Linked DNA regions of Stegostoma tigrinum. The protein of the gene in region 2 interacts with the protein of the main gene of each other region in a pairwise test. Links are inferred from orthologs where the notes say so. Each region holds a gene or a part of one and is shown on either strand. Other genes may lie near its edges.

The links.
Region 1: the proteins of nmt2 (region 2) and acyl-CoA-binding domain-containing protein 6-like interact in binary tests that used the Homo sapiens proteins (3 or more experiments, as listed by UniProt). The link is inferred for Stegostoma tigrinum from reciprocal best matches to the Homo sapiens genes NMT2 and ACBD6.

Annotation. Positions count from the first base shown.
Region 1 is NC_081361.1:17,505,855-17,515,410, forward strand, and holds the start of acyl-CoA-binding domain-containing protein 6-like, read right to left. Parts: upstream 4,514-9,556; 5' UTR 4,168-4,513; coding exon 3,979-4,167; intron 1-3,978. UniProt on the Homo sapiens protein: Binds long-chain acyl-coenzyme A molecules with a strong preference for unsaturated C18:1-CoA, lower affinity for unsaturated C20:4-CoA, and very weak affinity for saturated C16:0-CoA. Does not bind fatty acids. Plays a role in protein N-myristoylation.
Region 2 is NC_081355.1:112,692,018-112,702,253, reverse strand, and holds the start of nmt2 (glycylpeptide N-tetradecanoyltransferase 2), read right to left. Parts: upstream 4,189-10,236; 5' UTR 4,151-4,188; coding exon 4,038-4,150; intron 1-4,037.

The sequences.
Region 1 (9,556 bases), on a different chromosome or scaffold from region 2:
TCTGGTCACAGATTTATTTCTCCCACATTGACCCTCCGCACTGTGTGTTCTAGTATACAAAGAGAATCAAATTGGTTAATACCGAGCATTGCTTACAACTCTCACGAAAGGACGCTGACCCCTATGGTTTTAAGCCAGATACAGATTTACAGTCATATAGGAAATAACTCTCTTAAGATCTGAAGAAACTGATGATTTTGAAAATAACACACTTTCTCATTCTCCCTTAATAAGAAAGAGTCAAGTTGATACAGAGAAAGTACAGCATAGATTTTATTTCTTCCAAGGACCAAATTATCAATAAAGGCTTTGTACAAGACATTTAGGAGGTGATAAAACAGTAACAAGTTGCCTCATAAAGGAAGATAAGCAAAAGGGTTACCACTTGGCTAGGCCTGGAATTAAAGACACATTCTTATTTGTTTGTTGGATATGAGTATCAATGGCAAAACCAACATGTTGACCATCCTGCATAAAACTGAGTCGTTTGCCAGATCATTTCAGAAGATAGTCAAGAGTCAACTGATTTTTTTACTTCAGGAATCAGATGCAGGCAAAACAGGGTAAGAATTAGATTTTCTTCCCTGAAGAACATTTGTGAAACAGATAGGTTTTTACAGCAATCTGGTAGGTCTGTGGTCATGAATTCAGATTTATTGATTTATTGAATTTAAATTCCATCAGTGGCAGTGGAGGAATTGCATTTCCAAACTTTGTCCAGGTCTCTGGATTATCAGCTTTGTAACACTACCAGTAGGCCACCATTCCTTACCTCTGATACTTGCTCTTTGGAAATTGGACAATCAAGTGGGAAGATGAAATTGATTGACTGATTGACATGAGATGGCTGCACATCCATAAAAATTAAAGTGCACAAACAAGCACTCAGTAAGGAAAAAGCATAAAAAAAAGGAAGTAATTGTTGCAGCACACAACAGAAACCAGGCCACCATCAAATTCTGAACTAATAAACCTTCTCATCTATCACTAGTTACATATCTACACTTTCAACTCCAATTATGTGCTGTATTTAAACTGTCACTTCTTAGTAAACCACCTTACAGGAACTACTTATGAGCCACAAACTATTTGAGCAGTGCTATCCTTGGCCAAATCTTTTATAAGGTATCAGGATATTACTGAAGGGTTTCTATTTATTTTCATCAACAAATATAGGGAATCAATGTTTATATTCATTCCTGTAGTTTACATTTAGATTGGAACTTAAGTTCTTGTATTGATTTCTCTGTGACTTGTTTATGATCATCCTAGCATTTACCCATTATGGATTTGCCCTTTTGTTCAAATTGCTAGGGTTTACTTAATTTTACCTGTCCCTTGCATCATTACCACAATCGTAAAAGTTTAGCTATTCATACTTGTTGCCCAACTGCCATCTATCCCTCACCTCTATACAATCCTTGGTGAGAGCTATGCCTATTCATACTTGTACCTTAGAGTTTACCTATATTGGAGATTTTACCTGTTTGTGGTGAGCATTATAGCTGTTGGCACACGTCTCTTGGGCTCAACTGTTTTAGTGGGTTTTAGGCACTTTGTACCTTTTCAGGGATGCCTGTTTTACATGTTTATGGAGGCTTTTATTTACCTACTGTCAAGGTATGTTTTAACTGTTACAAGTGAGCATCATCTTTCAAGCTGCTCCAGGGGCACATTTTATCTTTCAACCTTTTTCAGGAAAACACGCAAATTAAAGCAAAGGAGGGAGACACAGTGGCTCAGTAGTTAGCAATGCTATCTCACAGCACCAGAGATCCTGGTTCGGTTCCTCTTTTGGACTGTGTGGAGTTTGCATTCTCTCCATATGTTTGCGTGGGTTTTCACTAGGTGCTCCGATTTCCTCCCACAATCAGAAGAAGCATGAAATTGTTAGTGTGAAAGCAGGCCATTTGGCCCATTGGGTCCACACTAACATCCATGGGCTGTGGGTACACAAAGATGTGCAGTTTAGGTGGATTGGCCATGCTATATTGTCCTGTGATGTTCAGGGATGTGTAGGCTAGGCGGATTAGCCATGGGAAATGCAGCCTGGCAGGGATTAGGTTGGGGAGGTGTGTCTGGGTGTCATCAGAGGGTCATTGTTGACTCGATGGGCCAAATGGCTGTATGGATTCTTAGATTTCTATGAAAATAGTGCGGACACTGGAAATCTGAAACATGAACAGTGCTGGAGAAACTCAGCTGGTCTGGCAGCTGAGAGAGAGAAACAAAATTAACATTTTAAGTCTGAAATTTCAGGAGTCTTTGAAATGACCATGATGCTTGCCATATCAGGCTCGAAAGGATAACTCCTGCTTCTTCTCTTCCTAAAGATCTGAGGAAGGGTCACTCAACCCGAAGCGTCAATTCTGGTTTCTCTCCACAGATGTTACCAGACCTGCTGAGCTTTTTCAGCAACTTTTTTTTGTTTTTCTCTCCTCCTCCAGATGCTGCCAGACTTGAGTTTCCCCAACACATTTTTTTTATACAGGTCTGTTTCTGTGCCGTAGGGGGACAGGTTTAAATAAAAGCAAAACACTGCGAATGCTGGAAATCTGAAAATATGAACACGAAGTGCTGGGTAAACTCAGTGAAGTGTTCAGAGATAGCAAGAATTGCAGATGCTAGGGTCAGAGACAACAGAGTGGAGCTAGAGGAACACAGCAGGCCAGGCAGCATCAGAGGAGCAGGAATGCTGACATTTTGGGTCAAGACCCTTCTTCAGCAATAGGGGAGGGAAATAAATAGAGGGGAGGGGTAGGGATTGGGAAGGTGATAGGTGAGTGCAGATAGGGAGTGGTGGGGATTAGTCAGTGGGATGGCAGGGATGGAGAGGTGAGAGAGAAGATGGACAGGTTGTGTGTCAAGTCAAGAAGACAGGGATGAGGAGATTTTAAAACTGGTGAATTCCACATTTAGGCCATTGGGCTGTAGGCTCCTCAGGCGGAATATGAGTTATCGCTCCTCCAATTTGATGTCTCTATGGGGTGGCCCAGGATGGCAATGTCACCCAGGCAGTGGGAGGGGAATTAAAATGGTTGGCAGCTGGAAGGTGTTGTCGTTTGCCATGTACAGATGCTCTATGAAACGGTCTCTGAGTGTACACTTGGTCTCAATGATGTCGAAGAGGCCATGTTGGGAGCAGCAGATATGGCAGACCAAGTTGACAGATGTACAGATCAATCCCAGTCTGAAAGGTTTGTTTTGGGCCTTGATTGGAGCTGAGGGGGTGTAGCACTTCCTGCAGTTGCTGGAAAAGATGTCTAGTGTAGCAGGGCTAGTGGGGAGTGTGCAGCAGATGAGGGAGTTGCAGAGTGAGCAGTTCCTAGGAAAGGCAGTTAGCGGTGGCATGGGAATATAGCTGGCGGAGAATGATACAATGGATGCAGAGATTAGTGGAGTGGTAAGTGAGGACCGGGGGATTCTGTTTTTGTTTTAGGTGGGGGGGGTTTGAGGGCAGAAGTGCGGGAAATGCAAGTGATGCGGTCAAGAACATTTTCGATCACCGGAGAGGGAAAGTTGACAGTCCTTGACGTAGGAGGACATCTGGGATGTCCCGGAGTGGAACACCCTATCTTGGGAGGGGACATGGCGGAGGGGTTGGGAGTAAGGAATTGTATTCTTGCTGTAAGGTAGGTGAGAGATGGTGTAGTCCAGGTAGCTGCAGGAGTTGGTGGGTTTGAAACAGACGTCAGTTTCAAGGAGGGCACCAGACATACATACCCGCCGTCACCGACCAACACCCCACTTCATTCATTCCTTCATTCCTTCCTTCCCTTCTATTAATTTCGCAGCTCCCTCTCCTTCCGGAAGAGTCCCGACCCGAAACGTCAACTTTCCCGCTTCCCCGACGCTGCCTGGGCCGCTGTGTTGCTCCAGCATCCACACAGGTGTTATCTCAACACAGTTTTGTTGTTGTAATGTCTACGTGTCCCTCCCCCCCACCACACACACACACACACACACACACACACACACCTGTTTGAAGCGGCTGTACAGGTAGAGCAGAGTCTCGCGGCCGGCCGCATGCGCGAGCGTCTGCACGTGCGCGGCCGCGCGCTCGAACTCAGTCTCCAGCGCGCGCCCGCCTCCTCCTCCTCCTCCTCCGCCCTCAGTCTCCGGCACACGGTCCTCGCTATCGCTCGCCTGGTCTGACACCGCCGCCATCTCGGGTAGGGAGCCCGTGACCCAGGCTCCGGGGGAAGTTCCCCACTGACCTGTTAATTATTCGCTGCCGAGGCAACGAAGCCGTGGGAGAGAAGTAGAGAAAGAGTCCAGCTCCGACCGTTTAACCGCTGGTTCTTTTGCACCCCACCCCCACCCCCCGCTACTTCTCACACCGCTGCCCGTCCCGGAGCTGTCAACACTCCGGGTGGAACGCACCGGCCGCCGTGCGAAGGTTCCGCAGCGAAAATGCACCTTATTCTTTTGAACGTGCCCCGACACATTTAACAAAACAAAAAGTCGCGTCGCTTTCTGCTTTTACGTTTGTTTTCGAGCCACGTCTCCCACACTGATTTTAAGCTTTCGCGTGATGTTGGCAACAGCATTGCAGGTAATTTTGGTGACCGATAATACAGTATAGCAGTTTGACAAATTGGAGCACTGCATGGTGTTATGTAGAACTGCCTTAGAAATAGGGGGATCTACCAACACACTACCCTGTATGGGTTTCAGCTCGTAATGAAGGTTTGCTATTTGAAACTACATGGAGTCTTTGGTCTAGACAGGTGAAAAAAAAATTCCTTGTTTTAACCAGAGAGTTTTCTGTGGCTCACAAAACACGTTGGATCAGATTTTTCGTGGATTTGCAATTTCTCACAGATTTGCCACATTTTTTTCTACTTTATATCAGGCGATTCCTATCAGGACTCATTCAGAAATGTGGAGCTTTGTACTTCATTCTGACCTGTACCCTTCTAGTGCAAAATTCTGGGCCACAACCTTTTTTTTAAAAGCAGTTCAGCTACAGTGTTCTGAAATTTAAAGGTCTGGAATCAGACAGCCTCTTCGACTGCTATGTTAAGATAAGTGTTAGATGGGAATGGTGGGAGGGTAAAAGTGCTGGGTAAATCGGTGCCAGGTGGGTAGTTTGACAGAGGTAGCATGTTCAGGATGAGAGGAAGTGGGTGAACAGCTTCATAAAATGAGAGGACCTGTTTGATAAAGACAGTAATAGCAGGAGATATTATCCAACAACAGAGTCCCTTCACTTTGTTTCTTCCTGTAAGAGTAAAAGTGTGACAGCACAGGAAGATATGTGGATAATTGTTCACCACTGATGATCCCCGTAAGCAGCTATTCATCCTCCCAGACTGGCCTTTACCCATTTCTTTTGCTACTCAACTGTTTTTCTGTCTCTGTTGGCTCCATCTATCATTTACTTCTATATAACCAGGTCAAACAGGACTCAATGAGATGACCCACACATTGACAAAGGCACTCAAGGACAGTACTTGATCAAAAATTAAGGCATGTAAAATGGCAAAAACTAGTGGTAGGCCAGAGGATTTTAGGAGCCATTATTGGACAACTAAAGACCTAAATAAACAGAGAAAATTTGAGTTTTGATACTAAATTAGCAACATTTATGAAAGCAAAGGACTTTGTATAGGACTTTGGTTCAACCACATTTGGAATACTGCGTACAATTCTGGTGGACACATTATCAAAAGGATGTGGATGCTTTGAAGGGAGTACAGAGGAGGTGCACCAGGATGTTGCCTGATATGGAGGGAGCTAGTTATGAAAAGAGGTTGAGTAGATTAGGATTATTTACATTAGAAAGAAGGAGATTGAGGGTGAATCCGATTGAGGTCTACTAAATCATGAGAGATATAGACAGGGTGGATAGCAAGAAGCTTTTTCCCCAGAGTGTGGTACTTAATTACTAGGAGGTCACGATTTCAAAGTGAGAGGGGAAAAGTTTAAGGGAGATGTGTGTGGAAAATTCTTTATACAGAGGGTGATGGGTGCCTGGAATGCGATGCCAGCGGAGGTGGTAGAGCCAGGCAAGATACTGTCATTTAAGATGTATCTGGACAGATACGTGAGTGGGCAGGGTGCAGAGGGATACAGATCCTTGGAACATAGGCAACAGGTTTAGTTAGAGAATCTGGATCTGCACAGGCTTAGAGGGACAAAGGGCCTGTTCTTGTGCTGTAATTTTCTTCGTTCACATAGTGAGACCTCCAAGGGTACATTAAAAGACAGTAATTAAAGTAAGCATAGGAACTTGGAGGATATGACTATAGAATTGATAATGGGAAACAGGTAAGCAGATGATTTTAAATCAATACTTTTACAATGGTCTTCATGGTAGGGGATAATATAAATACCCCAAAGAATACAAATAAGCAAGATGCTATTAAGAGAAGAGGCCTTGTTGTAGGCTCTATAATGAGGGACAAAGTATTTCACAAACTAATGGGGCTAAAGGTAAACTAGGACCTGATAGCCTGCATCCAAAAAATTTAAAGAAGGTGGCTGCAGAGATAGTGAAGATATTGGTCTAAAATCGTGAGAATTCACTGGATTTGAGGAGGGTTCCTGTGGATTGGAAAACTGCTTATGTGACAACCCTGTTCAAGAAGGGATGGAAACAGAAAGCAGCAAACTGTAGGCTGGCTAACATCTGTTATTAGGAAAATTATTAAGGAAGAGATAGTGGGGCATTTAGAAAGGTTGAATGCAACCAGATAGTATCAACATGGTTTTGTGAAAGGGAAATTGAACTTTGGCTTTTGTTGCTAGAGAGTTGCAGTTTGAAAACAGTAAAAACCTTGTTACAACTGTACAGGGTCTTAGTGAGGTCGCACCTGGAATATGGTGTACGGTTTAATCCCTGTATTTTAAAAATGTGTATACTGGTATTGAGGACTATACAAAAGTGCTTCACTGGACGACTACTTCTGATGAAGTATTTGATAAATTAATTATCCCCGAAAAATAAGGGAAGCTCACCTTTCCCTTGTAATCTGTTAAAAGAGGGGTTAAATGAAAGAAAATCCCTGATTCAGTTTATAAATAACAAGAAACAATTCCTTTATTTAACCCGAACAATGAACAAAATAACAGAATTGCTAACAAAGCAAACAATACTCCTATAGACTACAAACTACTCCCTAACTGACCTAAATTCTACTGGAATGCTGTTCAAATAAACACAAGTCCCACTTATATAAACCCAGTTAATAACACAACAATAAATTAAAACTTAATCTCTCCAAAGTTCACACAGACTGTCTTCTGCAACACTGTGCCTTCTCCAGCCTTTTTCCTGTCGATCTCACATACCAAATGTCTGTCTTCCGCTGTTTCTGCTGTCAGGGATGTTTTCCTCTGCATTCATTTAAGTGAGGACTTTTAGCAAGAACTGCCATGGTACCTTTTTATTAATTATATTGTGCTTTCTCTGAGAGCTGAATGGTGTTGTCTCTTGGCAGTTGGCTCTCCCTGAAATACCCTCATCTTTATACTCATGATGACATAACAATATTTCTCATGTAGGATTGCTGTTCCCAACGCCATCAGATTTAAATTTAGTAGGTTTTTAGCATCTCAGGGCTTGGTTTAAATTGATTGGTTTAAATTTGAAAAGACCTGTTGTCTTGGTAAAAATGCTGCTTGGCTGTTTGCTACAAAATGTTTCCATTCGGGCGCTGTTTCTGTGCACCTGCACTTCAAGTTGCTGGTCAGATATCCATTTTAACACTGAGCAGTGAAAAAACGCCATTTTTCAAGGTATGATGCACTGCTTTTCCCCACTATCATTTTTTACCAATATATTCTAACTTCCTGCCTTCTAATTCATGAATACTCTACACAACTTCGTAACAGAAGAATGAGGGTGAACTTATTGAAACGTACAAGATTCTGAGGGGCCTCGACAGGGTAGATGTTAGGATGTTCCCACTTGTGGGGGAATCTCAAATCAGGGACATAATTGCAGAATAAGTGCACACTTACTTAAAAATGAGAAGCAAAAGAATTTCTTCTGTCAGAGCATAGTGAATGTCTGGAATTTTCTACCCTGGAGGGAGTTATGGAGGCTAGATCACTTAAAGAGAAGGTCACCGATGGTAAGAACTGCAGATGCAGGTGTCAGAGAAGACTCAATGTGGAGACCCCTCTTTTCTCTATTTATTTCTGAGCTCCCTTCCCACCTCCCATTTCTGAAGAAGGGTCCTAACCCAAAACATCAACTTTCCTGCTCCTTTGATGCTGCCTGGCCTACTATGTTCCTCCAGCTCCACACTGTGTCATTTTCAAAGAGGAGGTACAGAGTTTTGAAATATCAGGAATTTGACACCTAGGCAGAGCTAGCCTGAAAGAGGTGTTGAAATCTGGCGCAGATCCACTGTGATCTTGTTGCACAGTGAGACAGGCTTCGGGGTCCAAATGGCCTACTCCAGTGTCTATTTCTTATGTTCTTACATCTTGGTCTTTCTGTGTGTAGGGTAATCTGGTCAATGTAATCATCCTGGTACCTAGCTTGCAATTCTCATCAAAGTAATATCTTTGGAGATTATTTACTGATTCGATTGTGTTGTGTGGTTCATTCTACCAGAGCAGGTATGGTTTGGTGAGTCTCCTGAATTGTGACTATACAAAGATGTATGCATACTGGTAGTCCTGCCACTGCTGGTCCAGTGATAACCATCAGATGGAAAATTCAGGAATCCAAGCTGAACTTGAGTGTTGGCACACAATATGATTCTGCCAAAATGGAAAATTGGTGATCTGTTATTCAATGAGAAATGATCTCTCATGAGTTGTACCATCAAGTACCACTTCGTGAGTTACGTCTTTTAGGATGTGTTGTGGTGATATGTTCACATTAGCTGTCATTGTCAGTTTTAGCTGTTAATATGTGTTGTACTGCCTTCTCAGGACAAATGATAATTAATAGCTGTAAAAGGTTCTGGTTATCTCAACATTGAAATGCTGTGTGACAGTAATGATATGGAAAGTTGGTCATGTTCAGCAGTTTGCCTTTCACTCATATGAATCTCACTAATGTGTTTGTACTTGTGCATCTTCTAAGCATTTTCCTTGTGTTGTGGTTCTGTACTGTATTGATGACCACTTGTGTTTTATTCTATCATTTAGGTCAGCAGATTTCTTGCAAATAAGTCCACAAGTGCTCTGCAGATGTCAACACAGGCTAGACAGCTTTTGAGCAGGTGTGACAAACTGTATTTTTTTTCCAATTTGTTAGTTTTATGTGCTTTGCTGACCCCAACAATAAAATTACATGTACCTAAAGCATGTAATTCTTGTGGTTGGTTGGCTTGTCAAGCTGGTTCATTGTTTTTCTGCAGACATTTCGTTACGATGCTGGGTAACATCATCAGTGCATCCTCTGATGAAACGCTAATGTGTTTTCCCTTCTGTTATTTGAACTCTGGAGTCCATTGAGCTGAGTTACCTCACTTCTAGTTTTCCTTGGCAGTGGAGTATATATTGGGGTTGAGCTCTATGTGTTTGTTGATGGCTTTCGTCGTGGAGTACCAGGTTACTAGGAATTCCCTTGTCTCTGTTTTGCTTGCCCCAG
Region 2 (10,236 bases):
TCACTCAACTTGTCTCAACATTGAAATATCTCTCATCCTCCTCACAGCTCACTCTCCCATCCTATTCTGTCATCTGCAAATTTAGAGATATTACATTTAGTCCTCTCATCCATTCATTGATGTATTATAAATAGCTGCAGCCCAAGCATTGGTCCCTGCAGTACCCTACTAGTCAGTACGTGCCACTTGGAAAATTACCAATTTATTCCCACTCTGACTTCTGTCTGCCAACCAGTGCCCGATCCATGCTAGAACCCTATCCCCAACCCCATATACCTGAATACAATATGCTAGACTTTCATGTGGAATGTTGTCAAAAGCTTTTGAAAGTCCAAGTAAACTATATCCACTGGCATCTCCTTGTCAACCGTACTAGTTATATCCTCAAAAAGTTCTAGTAGATTTGTCAGCATGATTTCCCTTTTATGACTGACCCATGCTGACTCTGTCCAATCTTGTGACTGATTTTCAAGTGTTTTGCTACAAAATCTTTTATAATGAAATCTAGCATGTCCCCCAAAACCAGCGTCAGGCTAACTTGTCTGTAATTCTCTGTTTCACTCTCTCCATTTGTAAATTGTGGGAATACAACACCTATACTCCAGACTAGTCCAAGCCTCTAGAATTCTGAAAGATAACCATTACTACATCCATTATTTCTAGGGCCACTTCCTTAAATATTCCGGAATATAAATTATCAGGCCCTGGGGTTTATTAGCCTGTAATACCATTAATTTCCCCAACAGCATTTCCCTACTAATATTGACTCAATCCACTCTTACACTCTACCTTGAGTTCCCTAACACTTCGGAATGTTATTTGCATCCTCCTTTATAAAAACAGATTAAAAGTATATTTAATTGGTCGACCATCTTTTTCTTCCCCATTATGACTTACTGCATTTCTGATTGTGACTTATGAACTGTTGGGAGGATGAACACTCACTCTGCTTACTTTTTTCCTTTTTGGTCTTTACTTTCCTTTTACTCTTTCCTTTCTATATGTTATTGCTTACCATTATTTATCATTCCTATCATTCTTTGAAGGTGGACGTTAAAACAGCAGCAATTTCTTTTTTTGGCAGTTCTGTAATGTTTGTATAATAAATCAGAAGGTCATTTTGGAACACTGACCTAAATACATCATTGATAAGAAGACATGTAACTTCAGTGAACAGCCTATCAGCCTCTTGTGGTGTTAATACATTAAATGTTTACATTTGTTTATATTTATAAAAGGTGGTGTAAACGTATAATGGTAATTAGTTTAGTTTCAGCTTCAGAACGGAAGGTTCAAAATTACATCAGAAGAATCAGAGTTCAAGTTAGAAGAAAGAATAGTTTCTCCTAGCAGGGGAAATTAAGCTTTTTTCAACTCTGATCAGAGGATCAGTCACTTCAGAGGTGTTTCCAAGCTGAGACACCTTTAATGGAAGTATTCAAGCTGTTAAAACTGAGAAAAGTTTAGGCCCTCAGAATTATGAAACAATCATACCTGAAGATGGAAAACAAGTGTAAAACTGTCCACAGGGTCCGTGAAATGAAATTGTAAGGAATCACTTAGGTGGAAACAATTATTTTACTGCTTATGTTAAGAATCTGCTAATCTGTCTTCGATATTGTTTAATTTGCTTTTGCCTCTTTTGTGCAATAAATTTAGGTTCTGTTCTTAAACAACATCTACAGCCTTGTATGACCAAACACAATGTGAATGAACTAATGAAAAAGTTAAACATATATCTATCTATCAAGCCATGTTTCACTTTGGGATTGATTTATTCTGTAGGGCCAAAAATGGGTTCATGACTTACTCTAATTCCTAAGAACGAAGTTCAACACTCTCTTTACCTTCCAAACTATTTGATGCAGCTGTACTCTATGATTCTGTACAAGATCCTAGTGTACCACAGCATTTTGCAGTCTCGTCTTAAATAATGTTTCATTGTTCCAAAGTAGTAAACCCCATATTTTTTCCACAATATATCCATTTAGCTACATCACATAGTTAGTTAGCTTATCTATAATCCTTTGCAGGCTTTCTGGCCTCCTCACACATTGCTTTCCTACCTTATCTTTGTTTGATCGACAAATTTGGCAACAACAGACTCCGTCTCTTCATTCACGTCACTAATAAAAATTGTAAACAGTTCAGACAACAGTTTTTAGTTAGCCAATACTTTGTCCATGCTGATGTATTATTCTTAGTGCCATCAGCTCTTATCTTGCAGAGTAACAAATTGTGTGATACCTTACTGAATGTCTTTTGGAAATCTAAATACTCTACATCACTGATAAGAGATAATAGGAACTGCAGATGCTAGAGAATCTGAGATAACAAGGTGTGGAGCTGGATGAACACAGCAGGCCAAGCAGCGTCTTAGGAGCAGGAAAACTGACGTTTCAGGCCTAGACCCTTCATCAGAAAAGCAGTTCTGCTGAAGGGTCGAAGCCTGAAACGTCAGCTTTCCTGCTCCTAAGACGCTGCTTGGCCTGCTGTGTTCATCCAGCTCCACTCTACATCACTGGTTCCCTTTTATCTGCCTTACATATTACATCCTCAAGGAGCGTCAAATAAATCAGTTTAACAAGGTTTCCCTTTCATGAAACTATGTTGACTCTGCTTAATTATATAATTTTCTAAATGCTACTACTTCAATAATGAATTTCAACATTTTCGTCAAAAGATGTCAGATTAACTGACATTAGGTTTTATGATTTTTGTCTCCTCCCTTTCTTAAAACAGTGTGTTACATTTGCTTTAACATTCAGGGTAGAGTATTCTAGATCTCGACCACATTCGGAATAAAGAATTTCTTCTGATTTGGAATGATGGCATAGTAGTAACATCACTGGACTAGCAATCCAGACAATCAGGGATCAAATCCCACGACAGCAACTGGTGGAATCTGAATTAAATTAATAAATCTAGAATACATAACTTATCTCAACTGTTCTATGAACGGCCTAGCAAATCATTCAGTTCAAGTGTAATTAAGAATGGATATCCAATCCCACAAAAAGAATAAACAAAAAAAGTCTTCTACCAATGCTTTTAAATCTACGGCCACAGGTTACTATCATTTGCCAGGGGAATCGTTTTTTTCCTACATACGCTATCATAACACCACACCTTGGCAGGCAACGCTTCGCCTTGAATGTTCCAAGGAAAGCAGCTTTAATGTTCCCAATCTCTTCTCACAACTGAAGTCTCTTGTCTTTTGTGACACCAGAGTAATCTTCTGTACTCTAAGATCTTTACACATTTCCAGAAATCTGATGCCTAGAACCGTTGCTGAACATTCAACTGAGGGCTAAACAGAGATTTATGAAGTTTGTAAACATTCCTCAGTATTTAGAATAAAAAATATCAATTTATGAACTTGCCGGTGGCATTGGGTTCAATTCAATGCAGGAAAAACTCAGCAGCTCTGAAGGAGGATCGCCAGACACGAAACTTTAATCTGTTTTCTGTTCGCAGGTATCATACCTGCTGAATTTTTCAACCAATTTCTGTTTTTTGTTAAAGATTCCAGTCAGTTCACCTCACTGTCATTTTCATGACACAAACAGCAGACTGGAGGCAGGGGCCGTTTACAGAAGAGGAAGACGGAATTGGTAAAATGCTGATTAGAAACATTTCATTGATTTCTGCGCCTTGCAAGCTTTGAGATAAGCCGTGCAAGGGCGGTGGAGGAGGAAAAAGATGTCCAGATTCCCAGCCAACCCAGTTCCTGCCCCGTTTCCCCCACATTACCTGCCATACCCACATGGCGCAGGAGATTGAAGCTGCCAACCTGCACAGTCCAGGGGCTCGATCTTCATTTACTAGCCCGACATGGACACGGTGCAGACACCCAATGTCTTAACGGTTTACCTGCCAGTTGCAAACAGCGCACAAACGCCCCCCGAACCTACAACAGGCAGCCTGCCGGGCCCAGGGCCCCGAGTCCCCCTCCCCAAAACACACACCCCCCGCCAAACCCAGAACGGCCCAGCGCAGGGCTACTCTGCCCCAGCCCTCTCCCCGCCGCCCACTACCTGTGCGTTTGCTCATTTTCCTCCTCGTTATCTCCATCGATGCCGCAGGTGTCGTGATCATCCAGCTCAAGGCTCTGCTGACTTGCTGCCGACTCGCTGTCCTCCGCCATCATCCAAACGCCGGCCGCCAGCCCGCCGCAGACGGCGCCCCCACCAGGCAAGATCAGAAACCACACACGACAATCAAGTTATGGTCCAAGGGCTTGTTTAAAAACACAAACGTTCACAGCCTCACTCCTTCCTCAGGTCTTCGTGAGAGAGGTGGTATCAAACACCGAATTTATAAGTAACAGCTCAAAGGGTCACACCACTGATGAGGATATACTAAACAAACCGAAAATGCTGTTAAATCTTCAGTCAGTCAGATGGTTTTAATTGATTAACAAGTATATGTAAATCGTCAACTTGTTTTCAAGTCCCTGTCCTGAGAGAACTAAAGATTTTATCAGCATAAAGATCTTTATATACACAGAATTTATAAACACAATATATATACTAAAGGTCAGACAACGCATGTTAGGTGTGAGGTCTTGTTTGGAGTCAGACCGGTTTTATTTCTAAAGTAGAAATTTATAAAACACTACATTGTCTGTAAATTGTGCACTTTTTGAGCAAAATAAAATGTATCTGCAAATATAAATTCACCCCATAGATTCACATGTGTGTCTGAAAGAAAGTGAATGAGTGAAGGGGAGACAGAGAGGGTGTGTGTGTGTGTGTCAGGGAAAGGGGGAAAGAAAAAGTGTCTGTGTGGGAAGAGAGTTTGTGTGCACGTGTGTGTGGGAGGGGAAGAGTGTGTGTATGTGTGAGAGCTGGACAGAGACCATTTGTGTATAGGTGCGTGTATGAGAGAGAGGAGGGGAAAGAGAGTGCGTGGGGGTGTGGATGAGTATGTCAGGGAGAGGGAGAGTATATGTGTGTGTGTGAGAGTGTGTGTGTGTGGGGGGGAGACAGAAACAGAATGTGGGGGGGGGGGGCAGTGTATGAATGCGTGTGTGAGACTGTATAGTGTGGTGGGGTCAGCCTGTAGTGCGATATGAACCCAAGATCCCATCCTTATCCTCATGGGTACCGAACTGGGCTATCAGCCTCTGCTTGGCGATTCTGTGTTGTTGTGTCTCCTGAAGTCTACTTTGGAGGATGCTTACGCAAAGATCCAGGGCTGAATGTCCTTGACTGCCTCACAGGCACAGCTACTGTCTCTGATGCTATAAAGAATCTGCACAGACCCATACCTGGGCCAGCAACTACCAGGACCTGCACTGATCTGCACCCCACACCAACTCATACTGACCTGGGCCCGTGACCTGGGCCGGCACTGACCCAGACCTGCACTGACCCGGACCCAGGCCTGCACTGACCCAGACCTGCACTGACCCGGACCCAGGCCTGCACTGACCCAGACCTGCACTGACCCAGACCCAGACCTGCACTGATCCACACCCGCACTGACCTGGACCCAGACCGCACTGACCCTGACCCGGACCCAGACCTGCACTGACCCGGACCCAGACGCGCACTGACCCGGACCCAGACCTGCACTGATCCGCACCCGCACTGACTCGGACCCAGACCCGCACTGACCCAGACCCTCACTGACCCGGACCCTGACCTGCACTGACCTGGATCCACACCGACCTGGATACGGACCTGCACTGACCTGTACATGCACTGGCCTGTACCCGCACTGACCAGGACCCAAGCCTGCACTGACCTGGACCCGCACTGACCCGGACCCAGACCCACACCGACCTGTACTCGCACTGACACGAACCCAACCTGCACTGACTTGCACCCACACTGACCCGGATTCAGAACTGCACCCGTACCCGCACCGACCCAGACCCGCATTGACCCGGACCAAGACTTGCACTGACCTGGACCTGCACTGACCCAGCTCTGCACTGACCCAGACTGCAAACTCGACCCACACAAACCTGGGCTGCAAACTCGACCCGCACAAACCCGGATTGCAACCTGGACCCGCACTGACCCAGAACCACAACTCGAACCCGCGACCGGTGCCAATCCAGACCATAACCCAGACCCGCACTGACCCAGAACCATAACCCGAACACGCAACCCGCACCAATCCAGACCGTAACCCAGACCCACACTGACCCAGAACCATAACCCGAACACGCAACCCGCACCAATCCAGACCGTAACCCAGACCCACACTGACCCGGAACCATAACCCGAACCCACGACCCGCACCAATCCAGACCGTAACCCAGACCCACACTGACCCGGAACCATAACCCGAACCCACGACCCGCACCAATCCAGACCGTAACCCAGACCCAGAACCATAACCCAAACCCGGGATTCACATCAATCCAGACCGTAACCCAGACCCACACTGACCCAGAACCATAACCCGAACCTGCGACCTGCACCAATCCAGACCATAACCCAGACCCGCACTGACCCAGAACCATAACCCGAACACGCAACCCGCACCAATCCAGACCGTAACCCAGACCCACACTGACCCGGAACCATAACCCGAACACGCAACCCGCACCAATCCAGACCGTAACCCAGACCCACACTGACCCGGAACCATAACCCGAACACGCAACCCGCACCAATCCAGACCGTAACCCAGACCCAGAACCATAACCCAAACCCGGGATTCACATCAATCCAGACCGTAACCCAGACCCACACTGACCCGGAACCATAACCCGAACCAGCGACCTGCACCAATCCAGACCATAACCCAGACCCACACCGACCCGGAACCATAACCCGAACCAGCGACCTGCACCAATCCAGACCATAACCCAGACCCACACCGACCCGGAACCATAACCCGAACCCGCGACCTGCACCAATCCAGACCGTAACCCAGACCCCACTGTCCCGGAACCATAACCCCAACCGGCGACCCGCGCCAATCCAGACCGTAACCCAGACCCACACTGACCCGGAACCATAACCCGAATCCGCGACCCGCGCCAATCCAGACCGTAACCCAGACCAACACGGACCCAGAACCATAACCCGAACCCACGACCTGCACCAATCCAGACCGTAACCCAGACCCACACTGACCCGGAACCCGCGAACCGCACCAATCCAGACCGTAACCCAGACCCACACTGACCCGGAACCATAACCCGAACCCACGACCTGCACCAATCCAGACCGTAACCCAGACCCAGAACCATAACCCAAACCCGGGATTCACATCAATCCAGACCGTAACCCAGACCCACACCGACCCAGAACCATAACCCGAACCCGCGACCCGCACCAATCCAGACCGTAACCCAGACCCACATTGACCCGGAGCCAAAACCCACACTGATCTTCATTGACCAGGAACTGCAATCCGCACTGACCCACACCCACCAACAATCCAGATCTGCAAATCGTGTTTCAGAGTCATAGAGAAGTACTGCATGGAAACAGACTCTACAGCCAACTCATCCATCACAACCAGATATCCTACTCCAGATTGCAAACAAACTGGACCCACAAGTAATCCAGATCCAAACAACAAGGAATTCAGACCAACAAATAATCTGGATCCAATTCACAAATAATTACTTTCTCAGCTGAAGTTCATGGGAACTGGATGAAATTGCATTTCCCAGAATTTCTGACTAAATTTCTATAAAAAGTATTCAGTTAGACTGCTTAATTTCCAAAGGCAGGGCGAAAGCAATCAGAAATGCATATTTTATATCATTCCATGGCTATCAACAATTCACTTTTATTGACCATGAGAAATCCCAGACCCTTGACCAGATGTTGTTTTCCACTTTTGTTTTCTGTAAAATAACTTCTCTGTCCATACTTCTGTGCTTTTGTGTTATGTGATTGTGTCTGTGGGATTAGAGGTACATAGTTTGAATTCATGATTATGATTGATTATGACTCTTGTACATGAGTAAACCTTCCCCATGCAGGTAAATTCTTTAAATAGATCTGGTACTTCCTTACTAACCAACCCCTAACTAGGCTGTACATTCTTTTGTAGCTTCCAATGGGATCTCCTTTATCAATTTAATAAAACCCACTGGCTTATCTTGTTTTGTCACATCCATCTTCCCATTGCTTTTCTTAAACCATTAACACTGCAACTTCATGCAGTTAAAACACCGGAGGGTTTTTAATTTTCTCCCCAACCACCCCTCCCCCCGCCAAATGTGTTTTTTAAAATCTGTGTTAAACTACCTTTACTATCTTCAAAGAGGTCTCATTTTCCTATACCACCTGGGGATTTCTCTTTTCCCCAATTTCTATCCCTCACAGAGTAAAATTGATGTTGGAAGCCAAACCTTGATATATGAACTAGCTCATAATCAACAGTCATTTCCGTTGCCAATCTTGCAGTTTAGCTCTCTGCTGTTCCACATAAATTCTCATTACTTCAGAAAGCGAAGTTTTGAACTCCTCCAAAATATCAATCTCTCTAAGACCATCATATGTCTGATCTGTTTTCAATGCTTTGTTTGATCCTTTCAAAATCAATATGTGTTTGACCAAGTTCCCTTCGTAGATTCCTAAAACATTGTCTGAAGGCTTCTTGCACAAAATCATATGCATTTAAAATGGCATTTTTCACCTCCTTATATTCCCCAGTTACCTCCTCTGATAGTGATGCAAATACCTCTCTAGCTCTACGTGGTTTGAATCAACAATATCCACATGGTCACCAGCCATTTCAGTTTTATACTACTTTCTCAAATCAAATGAAAAAAGCCTCTGCATCCTTCTCATCAAACTTTAGTAATGCTTGGACATATTTAAACAGATCCCCACCAGGCGTTTGTCTATGATTGGTATGCTCTTCATCACTGTCCCCATCACTACTCCTGCTTTCTACCCTCGCCATTTTAAGTTGACTTCCCCCTTTCATTGCCAACTTCTGAAGTTCAAAACTTCTCACTTTCTCCCTCTCTTGTACTAAGACCTTTTTCTTTTTCCTCTGTGTTTACTCATAATTCAAATTGTTTGATTTCCTTTGCATAGTCAAGCCAATTCATTTGCCATTGAATTTTAGCCACTTCCTATGATTCTGTTTGCATTTCTGGCAATTATAAATGCAGAATTATTGCCACAATAATATCCTGTTTCCTCACAGGCAACTCCAATTTCAATTTGTTTGCCAACTTTAAAAGCTTTGCCTTGCTCACTTTCCGTAAAACTGCCGAAGTGACATTTTCCATCGCCGCAAAACTGAACTGAAAGAGCCAATACTACACAAGGCACACCCTGTTTAAACCAACTGAATACAACACCCGAAAAAGAAAGCACCAATGCTCATCGTCCAATAATTCTAAGCCAAACCTGGAAATAAAGGTTTTGATCCCATTAAGAGCCCTCAGTTTGTTATAGACCAGACCAAGCCCCTTTCAAGTATATCAAGGAGATAGCCTCGACCCTAACTTTTTCTTATTTGAAGTCAAGTATAAGGTGCTGTGTTCCAGGTGTAATTTGATTGGTTACACTACTCAGCTTTAAGCAAAACACACTATATTCTTACTCTACAGTTAAAATACAAACAAAACAAAGAAGAATTGGCATAACTTTAACTCTATTGGAAAAGTTATCAGAATAATAGACTGTTTAACTACAAAACAGCAACTTTTCCAATGTAGTAACATCAAATGCACACATCCTTGGCAAAGGTAAATTAAAATAGATTGTCCACATGCAATATTTCTCCAGTCCAGGAGGAAAGGACATCAAGAGAAAATTCTGGCACAGGGAGAGAGAGAGAGAGAGAGAGAGCGTGAGAGCACGTGAGAGAGCGAGAAAGCGAATGTAAACATTTTGCTGTAGCAGGAAGAGATATTTAGCAGCTTCAAAACCCAACAAATGCTGAAAGCTAAACTAAAACCCAGGTTTATGGTTCTATGGGACCCTGACTGTCTCCACCCATTCATGCTGCTTCTATTGTTCCAACTTATAAAAATCTCCAAGGGCTCACAACTGTTTACTTAATTGGCTTGAAATAAACTGCTTGTCACCTCTATCTCATAATAAAAAACGGGGCAAAATACATCTTTTAAAGCCATAGTACTGTCACATTCAGTAAACATAGTCAGTACTGTGTAAGCATAGAGTCATAGAGATGTACAGCATGGAAACAGACGCTTTAGTTCATCTCAACCATGTTGACCAGATATTCTACATTAATCTAGTCCCATTTGCCAACATTTTGCCCATATCCCTCAAAGCC